2 linked regions of the Elephas maximus indicus genome follow. The protein of the gene in region 1 purifies or fractionates together with the protein of each later gene. This does not show direct contact. Links are inferred from orthologs where the notes say so. Each region holds a gene or a part of one and is shown in the gene's direction. Other genes may lie near its edges. The genes, in order: TEPSIN and AP4M1.

Region 1 (8,120 bases):
CTGGTATTGAGGTGAATTACCTAGAAAAAAGGCTCAGGATCCCACCAACATAAAGCATGATGGGCAATGGTGAGAGAACACCATTAATAAAGGTGATAACACAGGAAATCTCCCCGCCCAATATCACTGTTGGGTAGGCACGCTACAGGAAGGGGCAGCAAGTCCAGGGCATCCCCACTGGAGATGGTGCTTCCTTTCTCTTCGGTGGTCCATTGTCTTGGGAGGAGGGTGCAGCACCTCACCATAAACACAGCCTCCCTAGGTGCAGGGTGGTGCTTTTTAAGGGTTCAGAAAAGCTGGTGGTCACACACGCCGTCTGGGAGACGCATCGGTGGCAGAGGTCCACTGAGGCCCCAGGCGGTGGTGTGTCTGCACGGGTGCCTGCCCTTATCCTGGTGGAGACACCCCAAACCTTATGTGCTGGGCTGGCGTGGGGGCTGTGTGCTGACTACATGTAGGATGCCCAGCTGTGAGGAGGACTAGCCTTTGAGACGTTCCTCAGAAACCTCACCACACAGCTCTTCACCTGCACCTTCTGAAATAATTGTCATTTCTGTCTGAAAGCTGGAGATGGAAAACCAAAAGGGAAGAACACGCTTGGCATTTCTTAGGCTGAAAGAACTGAAGAAAAAATTCAAGCCTTGAGTTGCAATAATTAAGGATTCTATGGGGAAAATATTAAACGACGCAAGAAGCATCAAAAGAAGATGGAAGGAATACACAGAGTCATTATACCAAAAAGAATTAATCGATGTTCAACCATTTCAAGAGATGCATATGATCAGGAACCAATGGTACTGAAGGAAGAAGTCCAAGCTGCTCTGAAGGCATTGGCCAAAAACAAGGCTCCAGGAATTGATGGAATATCAATTGAAATGTTTCAACAAACAGATGCAGCACTGGAGGTGCTCATCCGTCTATGCCAAGAAATATGGAAGACAGTTTCCTGGCCAACTGACTGGAAGAGATACATATTTATGCTTATTCCCAAAAAAGATGAACCAACCGAATGTGGAAATTATAGAACAATATCATTAATATCACACTTAAGCAAAATCTTGCTGAAGATCATTCAAAAACGGCTGTAGCAGTATATTGACAGGGAACTGCCAGAAATTCAGGCCGGTTTCAGAAGAGGACGTGGAACCAGGGATATCATTGCTGATGTCAGATGGATCCTGGCTGAAAGCAGAGAATACCAGAAGGATGTTTACCCGTGTTTTATTGACTATGCAAAGGCATTCAACTGTGTGGATCATAACAAATTATGGATAACATTGCGAAGAATGGGAATTCCAGAACGCTTAATTGTGCTCATGAGGAACCTTTACATAGATCAAGAGGCAGTTTTTCGGACAGAACAAGGGGATACTGAATGTTTTGAATTCAGGAAAGGTGTGTGTCAGGGTTGTAATCTTTCACCATACCTATTCAATCTGTATGCTGAGCAAATAATACGAGAAGCTGGACTATATGAAGAACGGGGCATCAGGGTTGGAGGAAGACTCATTAACAACCTGCGTTATGTAGGTGACGCAACCTTGCTTGCTGAAAGTGAAGAGGACTTGAAGCACTTACTAATGAAGATCAAAGACCACAGCCTTCAGTATGGATTGCACCTCAACAAAGAAAACAAAAATCCTCACAATTGGACCAATGAGCAACATCATGATAAACGGAGAAAAGATTGAAGTTGTCAGTATTTCATTTTACTTGAATCCCCAATCCACAGCCATAGAAGCGGCAGTCAAGAAATCAAGACGCATCGTATTGGGTAAATCTGCTACAAAGGATCTCTTTAAAGTGTTGAAGAGCAAAGATGTCACCTTGAAGACTAAGGTGCGCCTGACCCAAGCCATGGTATTTTCAATCGCATTATATGCATGTGAAAGCTGGGCAATGAATAAGGAAAACCGAAGAATTGATGCCTTTGAATTGTGTTGGCGAAGAATATAGAATATACCATGGACCGCTGGAAGAACAAACAAATCTGTCTTAGAAGAAGTACAGCCAGAATGCTCCTTAGAGGCAAGGATGGCGAGACTGCGTCTTAGATACTTTGGACTTGTTGTCAGGAGGGATCAGTCCCTGGAGAGGGACATCATGCTTGGCAGAGTACAGGGTCAGCGGAAAAGAGGAAGATCCTCAACGAGGTGGATTGCCACAGTGGCTACAACAATGGGCTTAGGCATAACAACGATTGAAAGGATGGCGCAGGACCCGGCGGTGTTTCGTTCTGTTGTGCATAGTGTCGCCTATGAGTTGGAACTGACTCAACGGCACCTAACAACAACAACCTGAAAGACGCTCCCCCGACCCCAGGTTGGCCTCACCCAGAGACCCGTGTCCCGTGTGGTCACACAGGTTCTGGGTGTTCATGAGTCCAGGGACACGTTCCACCAGCACAGGGTGCCTCCGGCCCTTCATTAGAAGTGACCCTGGAGGAACCAGTGCCCAGTAATATCCCCCTAGACAGCCCCCAGCTGTCTAGGAGGATATTACCTGGGGTGGGATTTTATTTCTGCCTTGATTTTCCTGCTAACCTAGTTTTCTGGACCCTTTTCTGTTGGGAGGTACCACCATCCCCTCCTCTCCCAGGAGGCTGGAACAGCGCTGCCTGCCTGGCACATGCTGGCTTGTTTCTCACCTGTCCGCAGAGAGACAGGCAGAGTCCTGGGAGCACCCAGTGCTTTCTGAAACGTGCCACTACTGGTGGGGTAGATCCAAGGGCGTCAGGCGCCTGGAACAAAGCCTCAGGTGGATCAAGGACGAGAGGGTCTCCACACCTGGGGAGAGGGGACTGATTATGGAATAGAATTTAGAAATGGGCCAGGTGAGGGCCTGAAAACAGGCCTGGGCTCGCTGGGTTGCAGGGCTACTCCTGCTCACTGGGCCTAGTGAGCCATGCTCTGGCATCTGGAGTAGGCTGCTGCATGAGAGGGGATGCCCACTCAAAGCAGTTCCCAGCGTGCCCAGGATTTTTGGGACCCCGATGGCCTGTGGGCTTTAGACTATTTAAATGTACGGCCGGGGCGGGTTCTGCACTTCTGATCTCCCTTTTAGCTCATGGAACGAGAGGATGGGGAGCTGGACTGGGCAAGAGAGATGTCAGTGATGAACTTGGGCTCCTGATACCAAGAGGAGGTAGCAAAAGGAGGGGTAAGGGGTCCCCCTTATAGCCCATTGTTAGTCTGGAAGTGTGACCCCACCTTTTCCTGGGACCAGGAAAGTCAGCTGTAGGATTCTCTACTGCATGGATTTTTTTTCCCCTCATGGTTTGCTGCTGTTCGGTGCCGTGGAGTTTGTTTTGATTAACCACCCCACGTACAATGGAAGGAAACACTGCCCAGTCCTGCACCATCCTCACAATTATTACTTTAACCCTTAAGGTGGCACTTCTAATTTTATTCCTGGTACATCCTTGTTCCCTGCCCTGCCCCCTGCACAGTCAAACAGAATCTGTACCGGTTGTCTTTTAGTTCAAGTATGTTTTATTCTGTCCCACACCCTGTTGTACATTCTTGCTGGGAAACCCACTCCCCCTCTTTCTGCAGCTCTCCCTGCAGAGACGCAGGCCCATTTGAGAGCCGAAGTCTCCATGCCTAGGTTTCAGCCTCAGTGTTAAATGCTGCCACGTGCTGTTGGCAAGGTTGGGCCTGGCTCTGTGCAGCTTGGGTGGGCTGGTCCCTCCTAGCAGCCTCCCTTCACGGTCTTGGCCTGAAAAAGAAGGTACTTTGTCAGCACAGGTAGTTTTCAGGTTAGATATGGCTCCAAAGCAAGAAAACTCCCACCACAAAGGTCTTCCTTGACCAAACTGGACTTAAGAAACGAGGCTGTGGCAGGAGGCTCAGCTGTGTGAACCCCAAAACACCAGGGTGTTGGTAAGGTGACCCCCCACCGCCCTCATCATCTCTGCTAATTTTCCGATGGTTTCTCAGGTTAATGTCATCGTCTTCTAATAAACACGTAAACTCCACGAAAACAAAAGAGTTTTGTGGACTTTTTGGCTGACTGTTATGGTGTCCCGACGTCTAAAGCAGCAGCAGGCGCTCGAGCACTGAAGGAATGAGAGGGAGGGCTACAACCCCGGGTGGAAAGCCCTGGGGAGGCGGGCAGGTGGGCAGCAGGCAGACCACCGGTTCGGGTTCCCTCCTGACCTCTCGGGCCTCCCGGCGCCCACCTACCGCGGCGGTGAAGCACCTCCGCAAGGCCTCGAACTCCTGTGCGCAGAGGTCCTTCCTCAGGCGGCTGCCCGGGGCAGTGGAGGCCTGCACGCACCTGCCATACGCCGCGGCCTGCAGAGGAGTCGGGCGCGGGTCGCGGCGGTCCTCTCGGCGCCAGACTCGTCCCACCGCCCTCCGCTCCCAGGGTCCCTCCGGGTCTCGGCTTCGCCCACCGCCCTCCGCTGCGCGCGGCCCTTCCTGCCCGGGAGTAGCCCCATCGCCCTCCGCTCTTCTCCCCGCGCGGCCCTTCCTGCTCCGAAGACACTGCCTAGTCCTCACCTCGGTCCCGCAGGCCGCCAGGCGCTCGGGGAAAGCGCGGAGGCGGCCTCGCACGCGACTCCACACCGCTCCCTTCGCTGACATGAACGACCGATCCGGGCCCCCGCGGGAGCCGCCATTTTGGGTCCGTCCTCTTCCGGCGCCAGCGGCCTCAGAGAAGCGCACTTCCGCCCTGACCTACACCGAGCTCTCTAATTGGTAGACTTCGACCTTCGCCCTCCACAACCGCCTCCAGAGCCGCGGCTGGTCTCTCAGAGTCTTGCAATTGGCTTGTGTCCTTGTCTGTTCTTGCTCTGGGACTTTGGATTGGTTTATGCTCAAATTGTTTACCGAAGCCAGCCCAGTGCCCGCCCCACCGCGAGCGGTTGGCCAACTGGGCCAGCCCCGCGCGGTGATTGGACGGGTCTGGGCCTGGCGGAAGCAGCGTGGCCAGGAGGTGGCCAGCATTATGGCGGCAGCGCCGCCGCTGCGGGACCGCCTGAGCTTCCTGCACCGGGTGAGTGTCCGCAGTCTGTCAGGTCTGTCAGGTCCTCCCCCTGCTCTGCTTTCTCCCCGCGCGGGCCGCCCGCCTCGGGGTCACCGCATGCCGCCGCTTCTGGGCCCGGCCCGCCCTCCCGGTGCTCGCAGGGCCTGGAGCCGCCGCGCACCGCACAGCCCCTCCTCAGGCCCTCGCTGGCCTCGGCCCCGGCCTCAGTCCCCATCCCGCCAGCCAGCCTCCCACCCTCGGTCCCCTCTGTCACCTCCTCCCTGCCCTGGGGTCCAGCGTCCCGGTCCCCTGGCCTCGGTCCCCTCTGTCGCCTCCCTCCGCCCTGGTATCCAGCTTCCCGGTCTCCCGGCCTCGGTCCTCTCTGTCGCTTCCTCCCTGCCTGGGTGGCCAGTTTGCCGGTCCCCCAGCCTCGGTCCTCTCTGTGGTCTCCCTCTGCCCCGGTGGCCAGCCTCCCGGTCCTCCGGCCTCGGTCCCGTCTGTCGCCTCCTCTCCTCCCTGGTGTCCAGCCTCCCGGTCCCCCAGCCTCGGTCCCCTTCCCAGCTCCTCTCCTGCCCCCCGTGTTCTGCCTCCTGCTGAGGTCTGAGTCTCTCCTGAAGGCTGGGACACCCCCGTGTACAACGCAGGCACATCACTCCGATAGGCGCATCACTCCGACTCTGGTGTCAGCTCTGGGGTTGAAGCCATCTCTTTCTGAAGGACCTCAGCCGGGAAAGTGGGAGCTCTAGGCTGCGAAAGTCTACTTTCTTTCCCAAATTAAAACAGCTTTAAGGAGAAAAAAACGTGGCGGGCATTGAACCCACATATACAGACCCCCTAGGCTCTCTCCAGGTCTGGTTGGCACGTGAGCCGTGTTTGCATTGGCCCATCCTGCCTTGTCCACTTAGCATCACCCAGACACGTTATCGTGCGCTGACACGATACTAGCGGCGCCCGTTTGTACCGTGTCACGTGCTTAGCACCCACGGGGTCTACGTACTCACTGCTTTAAACAATCCCAAACTCTCCTGTGTTTAGGATCAGGTGAACGACACGTTGGCTAATGAGAGGTTGATGTTCTATCCCTGTAAATAGTGCATTTCTTGCTAATAGCCACAGTGTGTGTGTGTGGCACACTGGTTAAAGCACTCAGCTGCTAATCGAAAGGCTGGGGTTCTAACCCACCAGTCAATCCTCACGAAAGATGTGGTAATCTTTTTCCATAAAGGTTACAGCCTTGGAAACTCTATGGGGTAGTTCTACTATATTCTACAGGGTCATGGGTCAGAATCGACTACAGCAGTGGCCTTTGAGTGGGTGCTGAAAGACCTCGGAAGAAAGGCTTGGCGACCTGGTTCTGAAAGGTCACAGCCATTGTAGACACTGTGGAGTACACTTCTATTCCGATACGTGGGTTTACCACGAATGGAGAGTCAACTCAGTGGCAACTAGTTCTGGTGCTGATAGATAAGTGTGTGCCGTAAATGAACATCCGCTTGTGCTGACGGGCAAACGTAAACACACAAGGTAAGCTGGGTGCAGGGTAGTTCTGTGAGGTCCGTGGCGGAGGTGGAGTGATTGGGTCCGTCAGCCCAGGCAGTTCTGTAATGTTGCCACTTCAAGCTCTGTAAAGACTGAGCCGCGTGCTGTATTTTTGTGGGAAGGGCTTGCCGCCAGGCTTGTTTCTCCTGCTTGGCCGTAGACAGCGCATTAAAGGCACTTTGAATTGTGCTGCCCGGCTGTGGGTGGGGGCCATTTGCGGTGCCTGTTTCGACCTGCTTGGAGAGCCACTGCCCCGGATCCTTTCCCTGATGGGTGTGCCAACAGTGAGATAGCTGGAAGCTGGCGCCCCTAAAGCACCAAGCACTGGGATGGCACGTCTCAGGAGTTTCCGGAGCTTCGTCACCTGCAGTGGCTGTGGGCTCACCCACGTGGGTGGCTCCTCACGCAGGGCCTCTTGCTCTTTCCAGCTTCCAGTCCTCCTGAAAGGCACGTCGGATGATGACGTCCCATGTCCTGGCTACTTGTTTGAAGAGATTGCTAGTATCCTTCCTGGGTGTCTGGGTTGGGGGAGTGGGCATCAGGGCCCTGAGTGGCCCAGAGATTACTGGGGTTCTTCTGCTACCCCGAGGTGGGCTCCGCGGGTGCTTGCACCCATAGTCAGGTGCGGGCAGGTCCGAACGTGGTGTTCCGATGACACGGGCCCTTGGGGGAGCATGTGCTGAGCAGGCCGAAGTGACGGGATAGCCTGCCTTCCTTCCCTAACCCCACACCCAGACATCTCCCACGAGTCCCTGGGGAGCAGCCAGTGCCTCCTGGAGTACCTCCTGAGGCGCTTGCAGAGCAGCTCGGGCCACGTGAAGCTCAAGGTGGGAGGGGAGGGGAGGCGGGTGAACTGCCCAGGGTGGAGGCGGCTGCTGCCGGCTGCCTGCCCACATAGCTCTTCCAACCCCAGGTACTGAAGATCTTGCTCTACCTGTGCAGCCATGGCTCCTCGTCCTTCCTGGGCATCCTGAAGCGCAACTCTGCCTTCATCCAGGAGGCCACCGGTGCGGGCGGGCGTGTCGTCTGGGCTGAGAGCACCCCCTCTAAGCGCAGCAGCCTTGCAGCCCAGACTGGGGGGTGGAGCTGTGATGGGGTGACGCGCTCTGCTTCCCCCCGGGGTGGGCTTCCAGAGTGTGCCCGCCTGGTGCCCAGGGCACCTGGTGCCAGACTGAGCACCGCCTCTCCTCTGTCTGCAGTCTTCACTGGGCCCCCCGACCCTCTTCACGGGAACAGCTTGTACCAGAAGGTCCGGCTGGCCGCCCAGGTGAGTCGCCTCCTCCGGGCCATTGTTCCCCTCCACACTGCACAGTAGCTTCATTCTCCCTCCCCCCGACCTGGGTACCCTGGGCTCTGCTTGGCCTGGAACCCCTGCCCCCGCCCCAGAGCCCCGTTGGCAGCCTGTACAGTGCAGAGGAGGTGCAGGTGGTTCTAGGACTGTGGAGAGTGGGGGAGGGTGGCGTGGAGGGGTGGGGGGACAGGGGGGCAGGGGTGTGGTGCGGCGTGCCTAAATAATCTCCGGCTCCTGTTTAGGACTTGGACAGCGCCCTGTTCTCAGATGCGGTGTCACCGCTGTCTGCCCCCCGAGTCCCCAGGCTGCTGCCTCCCACTGG
Region 2 (7,889 bases), on another chromosome or scaffold:
GGGTCAGGAAGAGGAAACAAGCAGGCATGTTTAGCCAAAGGGAAAAGCAAGGAAGGGAATAAAGAACAGGGCAAAGGACCTAAAAGGTCTGCACTGGAACTGCTCTATCTGCCCAACGCACAACTACCCGAGGCAGCTGGAGACCTTTGGGAGTTCCCGCACTGGCAACATCTCCTCTCCCCTGCCACTAAACCTCCTCAGGACCTGCTATTCCCACCCACTCCTGCCTCCCAATCCCCCAAGGAATGAACAGAAATGTGGTTCTATGTGTGCCTCTCCCTGGGTCAGATTACTCACTGCGGGGTGCCAGGCGATCAATATAAGACAGGAGCTGAGACTTGGCCACACCAGGATCCCCCATCAGGCAGATGTTGATGTTGCCTGGAGGGATGGAAGGAAGACCCCAAGTGACTATTTTCCCAAAGCAAGTTGTCCAACAACAGAAATACACTTTTGAAGTCTACCATACCCCCATGCCCAATATAATTTCTTCCAAGCCCTCCCTGTGCCCATGAACCAAGATGCCAATTCCCTTATTCTGCGGCCTCTCATTCTTTTTCTCCCAAATGGCTTCATTCACCTCAAACCTCTCTCCCACTCATTTTTACCTCTGATCTTCATGCCTCGAGGGGACTGGTCTACACCTCCCACCAGCAGGAGCAAAAGTGCCTTCTTCACATCTTCATGTCCATATATCTCTGGGGCAATGGAAGCTGCCAACTTTTCATAGAAGTCCTCTTCTATAAGAGAGTTAAAATTACTCACCAGAGAAAAAAAAGGAGCTCAGGAAAAAACCCAAATTCTAATTTTCCCCCTGCCCCTCACCTGCAATCTGCCTCAGCTCCTCCCTGCTTAGCTCTCCAGCCCCGGCCTCATCATCCTCACTCTTATTCATCTTCACAACCCGATGGGCTTCCAGGTAAGTCTCTGAGAGTAAGCCCTATGGCAAGAAAATGCTGGGTATGGATGAAACCCCTTTACCTGTCCCACTCACCTGATCCCCTAATGATTTCCAACAAAGCCCTTTATATATTTTGTTTGGTATTTTGCTGTTAGTAATTTTCCTCGGGGCTAGAGGTGAAGACAATGAGTGAGAGGAAGAGAAAAAGAAATATTTCCTCATTTGAAACACCCTTTCTTACCTGTACCACCTGTCGGAACCCAGTACGCAGGATTGGCAGAAATATACCAGTGACACTGATGTGGTCTCCAGGCTGGGCAATCCTTGTGTTCTCTCCTTCAACCAACACTGTGATGCTTCGGGGGATATTTCCCACAGGAACTTGGTCACTCTAAGGGAGAGAAGAGCATATAAAAAGAAAAGAATGTAAGCCCACGGGATCAAACCTCACCTCCCTAGACATCCCATTCTTCTGCTTCTCAGCCTAGCCAGCTCCAGACAAGCCCCTAGGAGGAGCAAAAGAGACCCCCTTTACCTTTTCCTCACTCAATCAGAAAGTTTCAGCTGAGGTTAAATTTCTTTTCTGCTCTAGGTGACTTCTCTTGCCTCAGCTCTTTCTGCTTTCATTCTTTCTCCCACTCCGCAAGTAACCCCAGGGTTTGAGCAGACTCCCTTTTCACCCACCCAGGGCACATACACCAAACTCACATGCTCCTGCATCTTCATCTCTTGGAATTTGATGAATTTGGAGCCACGTGTCTGCAGATACAGCCGCCCTCCGGAGCGGTTGGTTTGGCACTCTTGGCTTGGGCACATGATCAGAGGCATGAAAGTTGGAGACTGAATCTAGGGTGTGAGAAAAGAAACAATAAAAACAATCAAACATAAAAACCCCTTTACCGTCAGTCACCTGACTCATCATGGAACTGTCTAGAACATTTTTAACCCTTCTGGATCAACAGCGACAGATACCAATATAACCAAACAAATGGCAAAACCACTACATATCCCAATAAGAATGGAAACTAAGCACACAAGTGTGTCGTAATAAATAAAAAATAACAAACATCAGTGAACAAATATAGTTCTTACAAAAACCATTAACAGAGTTAACCGCCTTCGTGTTCCACGCTCCATGCTTACCGGCTGGTAGGTCTCTGCCCCGCACTGATCACAAGTGTAGGTGGCCACCACCATCCTGGGTTTGACTTCAGAGACACGAGTAACGATCCCACGCACAGTTACCAACTTCCCCACCGAGTCAGCCCGTACTTCCCGGATCACACGAGGCTTGCTGCTGCTTGGGCCCTGGAAGTACAACTCACTAAAAGGAGAAAATGGTTATTAGCAGGGTTCTACTAAACAAATTGCCACATTCTTCCCCAGAGGCCACTCACAATCTGCGCATGAGTTCAGGAGGATACTGGTTCTGGGGGCTGCGGGCAGCTGCAGGGTCCCGGCCCCGCTGTTCCATCATCAGCCGATGCTCAATGTAAACATCCAAGACATCTTTATTTACCACCTACAGTAGGACCGACAAAAACAAGGAAAATGAGCAGCAGGACAGAGAAGGAAGGCAGCATAAAGGGCCCCAAACAGAAGTCACCGCCATCACTTTCCTGCCAGTTCAAAAACACCTGAGAAGCTTCTCAGCAAAGACCTAAGTCTACTGGCCTGCCTTTTCCTCCAACCACTCACCTCCCTCTCCTTGTACTGAGGCAGCAGCTCTTGTACGGCATCAGCAAAAAGCCTCGCATAACGCTTAGCGTTCTCACAAATCGAGTCCACCAACTCAGGGTCATCCTCCGCTATATCATCCAGGTCCACATACAGTGCCACTTGTTCCCGATGAGCCAGCTGAACCTGGGGTGGGGAAGAGACAGCAACACTTCAGAGCCAAGTTCACCTTGTTCACCAATGTTCACACATGAAAAGCCATCACTGTGAGCTCAGCAGTCTCGGGGCATGTACAGGGAGAAAGAACAATGTGAGACAGCAATACTCACTCCTCTGCCCCCAAAGACAACCTCCCACCTCCTAAGACATTTTAGTATTATTTTATTATTATTAGTATTATTACGAGTGTACTTTTACACTCATCGTGCATTAGGTGCCATGCTAAACGTGTCATTTACAGACAGATTTACTTGCTGAAACAAGCCAGGCCACCTTTTAGAGCCCCTTAAGCAACTACCCCATTCCCTCCATCTAATCTTAAAACTTACCAACTGGTTCCCATACTTAAACAGCTTCTTGCCAGATTCCTCGTCGTGGTAAAACTCTTGTAGGAACTTCTTAGCCTTTTCTACAAAATAAATGTAAAATCGTGAGAAAAACCCCTTCTTTCAGATACCTAACTAAAAATCCCTTTGATGGAAATCTAAGAAACCCGCTTTCATTTAAAACAATCTGTGCGCTAATTAGGCAAGTACCTAAATAACTACAAAACTCCCCAAACCGGGCAAAACTCCTTTTCACAAGTCTGTTTTTAACCAAAAAAGACTAAGTGGTCCTGGCAGCTAAGAGTATTACCCGACACCCTCCTCGCAGGGAAATTCCAGTCTCTGCCGTAATTAAAACTCCCAGTACCTTTCCCCAGTGGCCTCCCACACTCGCAACACAGGCCTGTCGGTGCTCAGCTTTTCTTCCACCCATATGATCTCCTTTCTTCTCTCGGTCTCATAAATTGCTGTTCTCCTCGGGATCTCTTGCCACTAGGCCCGTCTCCCAGCCCACTCCCTCTCCCCGCCACTGCTTCCGCTCTTAGTAAACAAAGAAGCACATGGGCCCCGAATCCAGCCGCCTCACAGCCCGGGATTCCTCCGCCCGAGGCGGGAGCCCGTCGGCGATTGGCCAGCACGCCAAGGGCCACGCCGTTCCACACTACTGCCTCTTCTCTCTGCCTCCCGCGAAATTCCCCAATTCCAGGCACGCCCCACCCCAGGTCGCTCCCTCCGAGGCTACCGCGCGGAAGAACACTGTTTACACACGACGCTCCCTCCAGCCAGTCGCGCAACTTCCGCCCTGTCTTCATTTCCGCTGCGAGGTTGGCCCACGACAGCCAATCCGGGCGCGCAGCGGCTCTGGCCTTCCCGCCCCTGGGGCTTCGGCGCGCCTCCCGTAGGACGCGGGAATTCGAGAGTGCCCAAAGCGGGGCGGGAAGCGAACCGGGGGTCCCCATCCCTAAGGCCGAAAAGCCCCTCAAACAGGGTCACCTGAGGTCTCGGTCTCGTCTGGGCGTGACCTTCCCTGTGGAGCCTCCAGCCGGGCTCTCCGCCCCTTACCCCCACCAGGACCCCGAGCTTTCCTGGACAGGGTTATCTGTCTTCCTTCGACCCCGGTGCTCCTGTGCGCCTCCCAGACCGTCTGCCTCAGCCTCGCCGTCTCCCGACCGTACCCCTGGCCTCACACGCCCCAGAGCCCGCCGACCCCGGCCCTCCACGTTCCCAGCCTACATCACCAGCTGTTGGCCTGGAGGCTTCCCGTGCAGAACGCCCCTCCCGGGCTTGCAGACCCTTACCTTTCTCGAGCGCGTAGTCCTTAAGTGCCATCCCTGCCAAGGGGCGCGCGGCAGCAGTTGGCGGGCCGAGGAGACTCGCGCCGCGAATAGCAAAGAACGTCCGCGCGGCTGACTGCGCTCGAGCAACTGAAATTGGCGCGAAACGTAGCCCCCCACGTGAGCGGCGCCACTCCGTGCGGGCCAATTGGAAAGGAAGGCCTGTCGCCCTTCCCACTCGCGGCAGGCCCCAGCCGCCCCCCGCTTGGGCCAATCACCGGCCTAGCCTGGGCAGAGTGGCACGGAGGAGGCGGGGGGGTCGGGTGGAGAAGTCCGGGCGAGGCGGGGCGGGCGCCCGGTTTCCCGCGGTCCCAGCCGGCGGGGGCGGAGGAGAGTCGCTCTTAAAGGCCCAGCCCACGCGCGTCCTTTTGTTCCAGAGCCGCAGGGCGGGGCAGGCCGAGGTCTCGCAGTCTTGTCTCCTCTCCAGAACGACCATGATTTCCCAGTTCTTCATTCTGTCCTCGAAGGGGGACCCGCTCATCTACAAAGACTGTATCCTTGACATGCGGGGCGGGGGTGGAGCGACTTGGTGGGAGTGGTGCCCCAGAGACAGGGTGTATCGCCAGCTTCTTAACTGTCCTTCCACCCGGTCAGTCCGCGGGGACAGTGGTGGCCGGGATGTGGCCGAGCTCTTCTACCGGAAGCTGACGGGACTGCCCGGAGACGAGTCCCCGGTTGTCATGGTAACCACCCCGCAATGGGGGGGGTAGGAGATGGCGGGGACAGGTGGGCGCCTCCTAGTCCCCGGGGCTGTTCCCTGAGAGCCTCCATTTGGTGAGAACATTCTCCCAAATAATATTAATCAAAGTTCATTAGGTGCTAACAATATACCACGCACAGTTCCTTGTCCCTCAATTCTCAGAACTCTGGGGTAGGCACTCTTTATTAACCCCGTTTGCATCTTAGGATGCTGGGACTTAGGATGGTTTCAAGTTCACCTGAAATTGCACTGCTATTAAGGAAGCTAGGATGTGAACTTAGGTCTTAACCACTAGCTCTTTTCCTGCCTCTGCCTCTCAGCACCACGATGGCCGTCATTTTATTCATATCAGACACAGCGGCCTCTATTTGGTGGCCACGACTTCAGAAAACATTTCTCCCTTCAGCCTCCTAGAGCTGCTCTCCCGGTGAGGAGGGCTGGGCTGGGCATCTGGGAGTGGGGATCTGAGAGAAGGAGAATATACACACCTCTTTCTTTTGCCTCAGGTTAGCCACCCTCCTGGGTGATTACTGTGGCTCCCTGAGCGAGGGGACCATCTCCCGCAATGTAGCTCTTGTCTATGAACTACTGGATGAAGTGTTGGTAAGCTCAAGGATATCCCTCATTTGTCCCTGTTCCCCTGACATATCCACTCCTCTACGTGGGATCCTATTGTTGGGAAGCTAAGTACTCCTGCTCCTTTTCACCCCTTCTCCCTACTGACCACCCAGCGATCCTCCTTCCATCACCAATAGGACTATGGCTACGTACAGACCACATCCATGGAGATGCTGAGGAACTTCATCCAGACGGAAGCTGTGGTCAGCAAGCCCTTCAGCCTCTTTGACCTCAGCAGTGTTGGCTTGGTCAGTGGAGGGGGTATAAAAAATGAGGAAAGAGAAGGAGGGTTGGCTAGGAGTAACCGAGAAGGATTGATTGCTTTGGGTGTTTTACAGTTCGGGGCTGAGACACAACAGAGCAAAGTGGCCCCCAGCAGCGCAGCCAGCCGCCCCATCCTCTCCAGTCACTCTGACCAGGTGAGGAAAGAATTGACAGTGGCAGACTCTCCCAGTTTTTTTCTGGACTCCAGAGTCAAAGATCCAGGTGTTTCTTTCCACTACCCCTAGAGCTGAGTATTCCTTCCCTCACCCCCATGTCCCCACCCCAGGGCCCTAGCCTCAACTATGCGATCCTTTCAGCCTACCCGTTTTAGAATACAGGCCATTCGGCCTCCAACCACCCAAATCCCCTCTCTTCCTCAGAATCAAAAGAATGAAGTTTTTTTGGATGTGGTCGAGAGATTGTCTGTACTGATAGCATCTAATGTAAGTTTGGATCCCTAGCCCTGGAGCTGAGGACAGATGGTATATGGGAAACACGCTGGGGTGGACAAAATTCTGGGTATTAACTTCCCTGTCACTCTCAGGGCTCACTATTGAAGGTGGATGTGCAGGGAGAGATCCGACTCAAGAGCTTTCTGCCCAGCGGCTCTGGTGAGAAGGCCACAGGCTGGCCCCAGGGTTGGGTAGGGACAGGCTCCTTGGTGGTACGTATGGCGTTGTTAAGTTTTCTGACGTTTTTTTCTAACAGAGATGCGCATTGGTTTGACAGAGGAATTTTGTGTGGGGAAGTCAGAACTGAGAGGTAAGGAGAAAGCCTTTCTCTCACAGGTATTTAAAAAAATTTTTTTTTGTTGCCGTTGGGTCGATTCAGACTCATAGTGAACCTATAGGACGGAGTAGAACTGTCCCATGGGGTTTCCGAGGAGCGGCTGGTGGATTCGAACTGCTGACCTTTTAGTTAGCAGCCGAGCTCTTAACCACCGTGCCACCAGGGCTCCCTCCTAGGTGTAGGCATTGCCAAGATTTCATAGAGAAAACTGGATCATCTTAGAATAGGGGAAGGGCATTTAAGTGTATTAAAGACATCCTCCCCCTCTCCCTGCTCTTCCTTCTCAAAGTATGTCTTAAGAGAGGGGTCTTTCTCTCTTTGCAGGTTATGGGCCAGGAATTCGGGTTGATGAGGTCTCATTTCACAGCTCTGTGCATCTGGACGAGTTTGAGTCTCATCGAATCCTCCGCTTGCAGCCACCTCAAGGAGAGGTCAGGATAGGGGTGGCCCAGTATAGTCTGTCTACTGTCGGAAAAGGAGGCAGTTCAGGTGTGAGGAGACTGAACCAACCTCTGCTTCTCTCTGGTTTCAGCTGACTGTAATGCGGTACCAACTCTCAGATGACCTCCCCTCCCCTCTCCCTTTCCGGCTCTTTCCCTCTGTGCAGTGGGACCGAGGTTCAGGCAGGTGAGATCATTCCCTGTTGTAGAACTTCTCTGGAACCCAAGCCGATACATATGTGTTCCCAGGACTTACTGTGGAGGAGTGGCAGTGGTAGTGATAATAGATTGAGAATTAGAAAAAGGCACACTTTCCTCCATGTGGACTCAGCCCCATGAGAGGCTTGGCTGCTGGAGTTGGGCTGGATTTCAGCACCTTCTCTCTCCCTGGGGCACAATTACACAGCCATGCATGGAGGTCTGGGTGGGGAATGGTGAGATGCCAGTAGGACATGTTCTCGGTAAAGGTGTTTTACCCTTTCATCCAGGCTCCAGGTTTATCTGAAGTTACGATGTGATCTACCTCCAAAGAGGTAAGAGTTGGGTCTGGCCAGGCCTAGTTCAGCTATGTGAATAGGACACAGGGTCAAAATATCTCCTGCCTTTTCATATGCACCCATC

What was found.
Region 2: the proteins of TEPSIN (region 1) and AP4M1 purify together in Homo sapiens (co-immunoprecipitation; 3 studies listed by BioGRID and IntAct, with this or other methods). This does not show direct contact. The link is inferred for Elephas maximus indicus from reciprocal best matches to the Homo sapiens genes TEPSIN and AP4M1.

What each region holds. Positions count from the first base shown.
Region 1 is NC_064837.1:71,129,026-71,137,145, reverse strand, and holds the start of TEPSIN (AP-4 complex accessory subunit tepsin), read left to right. Parts: upstream 1-4,998; intron 4,999-5,053; exon of another isoform or gene 5,054-6,240; 5' UTR 6,241-6,836; coding exon 6,837-7,008; intron 7,009-7,242; coding exon 7,243-7,334; intron 7,335-7,420; coding exon 7,421-7,514; intron 7,515-7,706; coding exon 7,707-7,774; intron 7,775-8,040; coding exon 8,041-8,119; intron 8,120-8,120. Other genes in the region: NDUFAF8 (NADH dehydrogenase [ubiquinone] 1 alpha subcomplex assembly factor 8), read right to left, coding at 3,691-3,717, 4,185-4,295, 4,503-4,586. UniProt on the Homo sapiens protein: Associates with the adapter-like complex 4 (AP-4) and may therefore play a role in vesicular trafficking of proteins at the trans-Golgi network.
Region 2 is NC_064830.1:91,608,287-91,616,175, forward strand, and holds the start of AP4M1 (AP-4 complex subunit mu-1), read left to right. Parts: upstream 1-4,741; 5' UTR 4,742-4,891; coding exon 4,892-4,949; intron 4,950-5,051; coding exon 5,052-5,140; intron 5,141-5,477; coding exon 5,478-5,584; intron 5,585-5,663; coding exon 5,664-5,760; intron 5,761-5,912; coding exon 5,913-6,023; intron 6,024-6,113; coding exon 6,114-6,194; intron 6,195-6,419; coding exon 6,420-6,482; intron 6,483-6,583; coding exon 6,584-6,650; intron 6,651-6,747; coding exon 6,748-6,801; intron 6,802-7,152; coding exon 7,153-7,259; intron 7,260-7,360; coding exon 7,361-7,455; intron 7,456-7,756; coding exon 7,757-7,801; intron 7,802-7,889. Other genes in the region: DNA replication licensing factor MCM7, read right to left, coding at 298-381, 609-740, 826-940, 1,143-1,292, 1,610-1,747, 2,045-2,225, 2,299-2,423, 2,600-2,764 and 2 more. UniProt on the Homo sapiens protein: Component of the adaptor protein complex 4 (AP-4). Adaptor protein complexes are vesicle coat components involved both in vesicle formation and cargo selection. They control the vesicular transport of proteins in different trafficking pathways.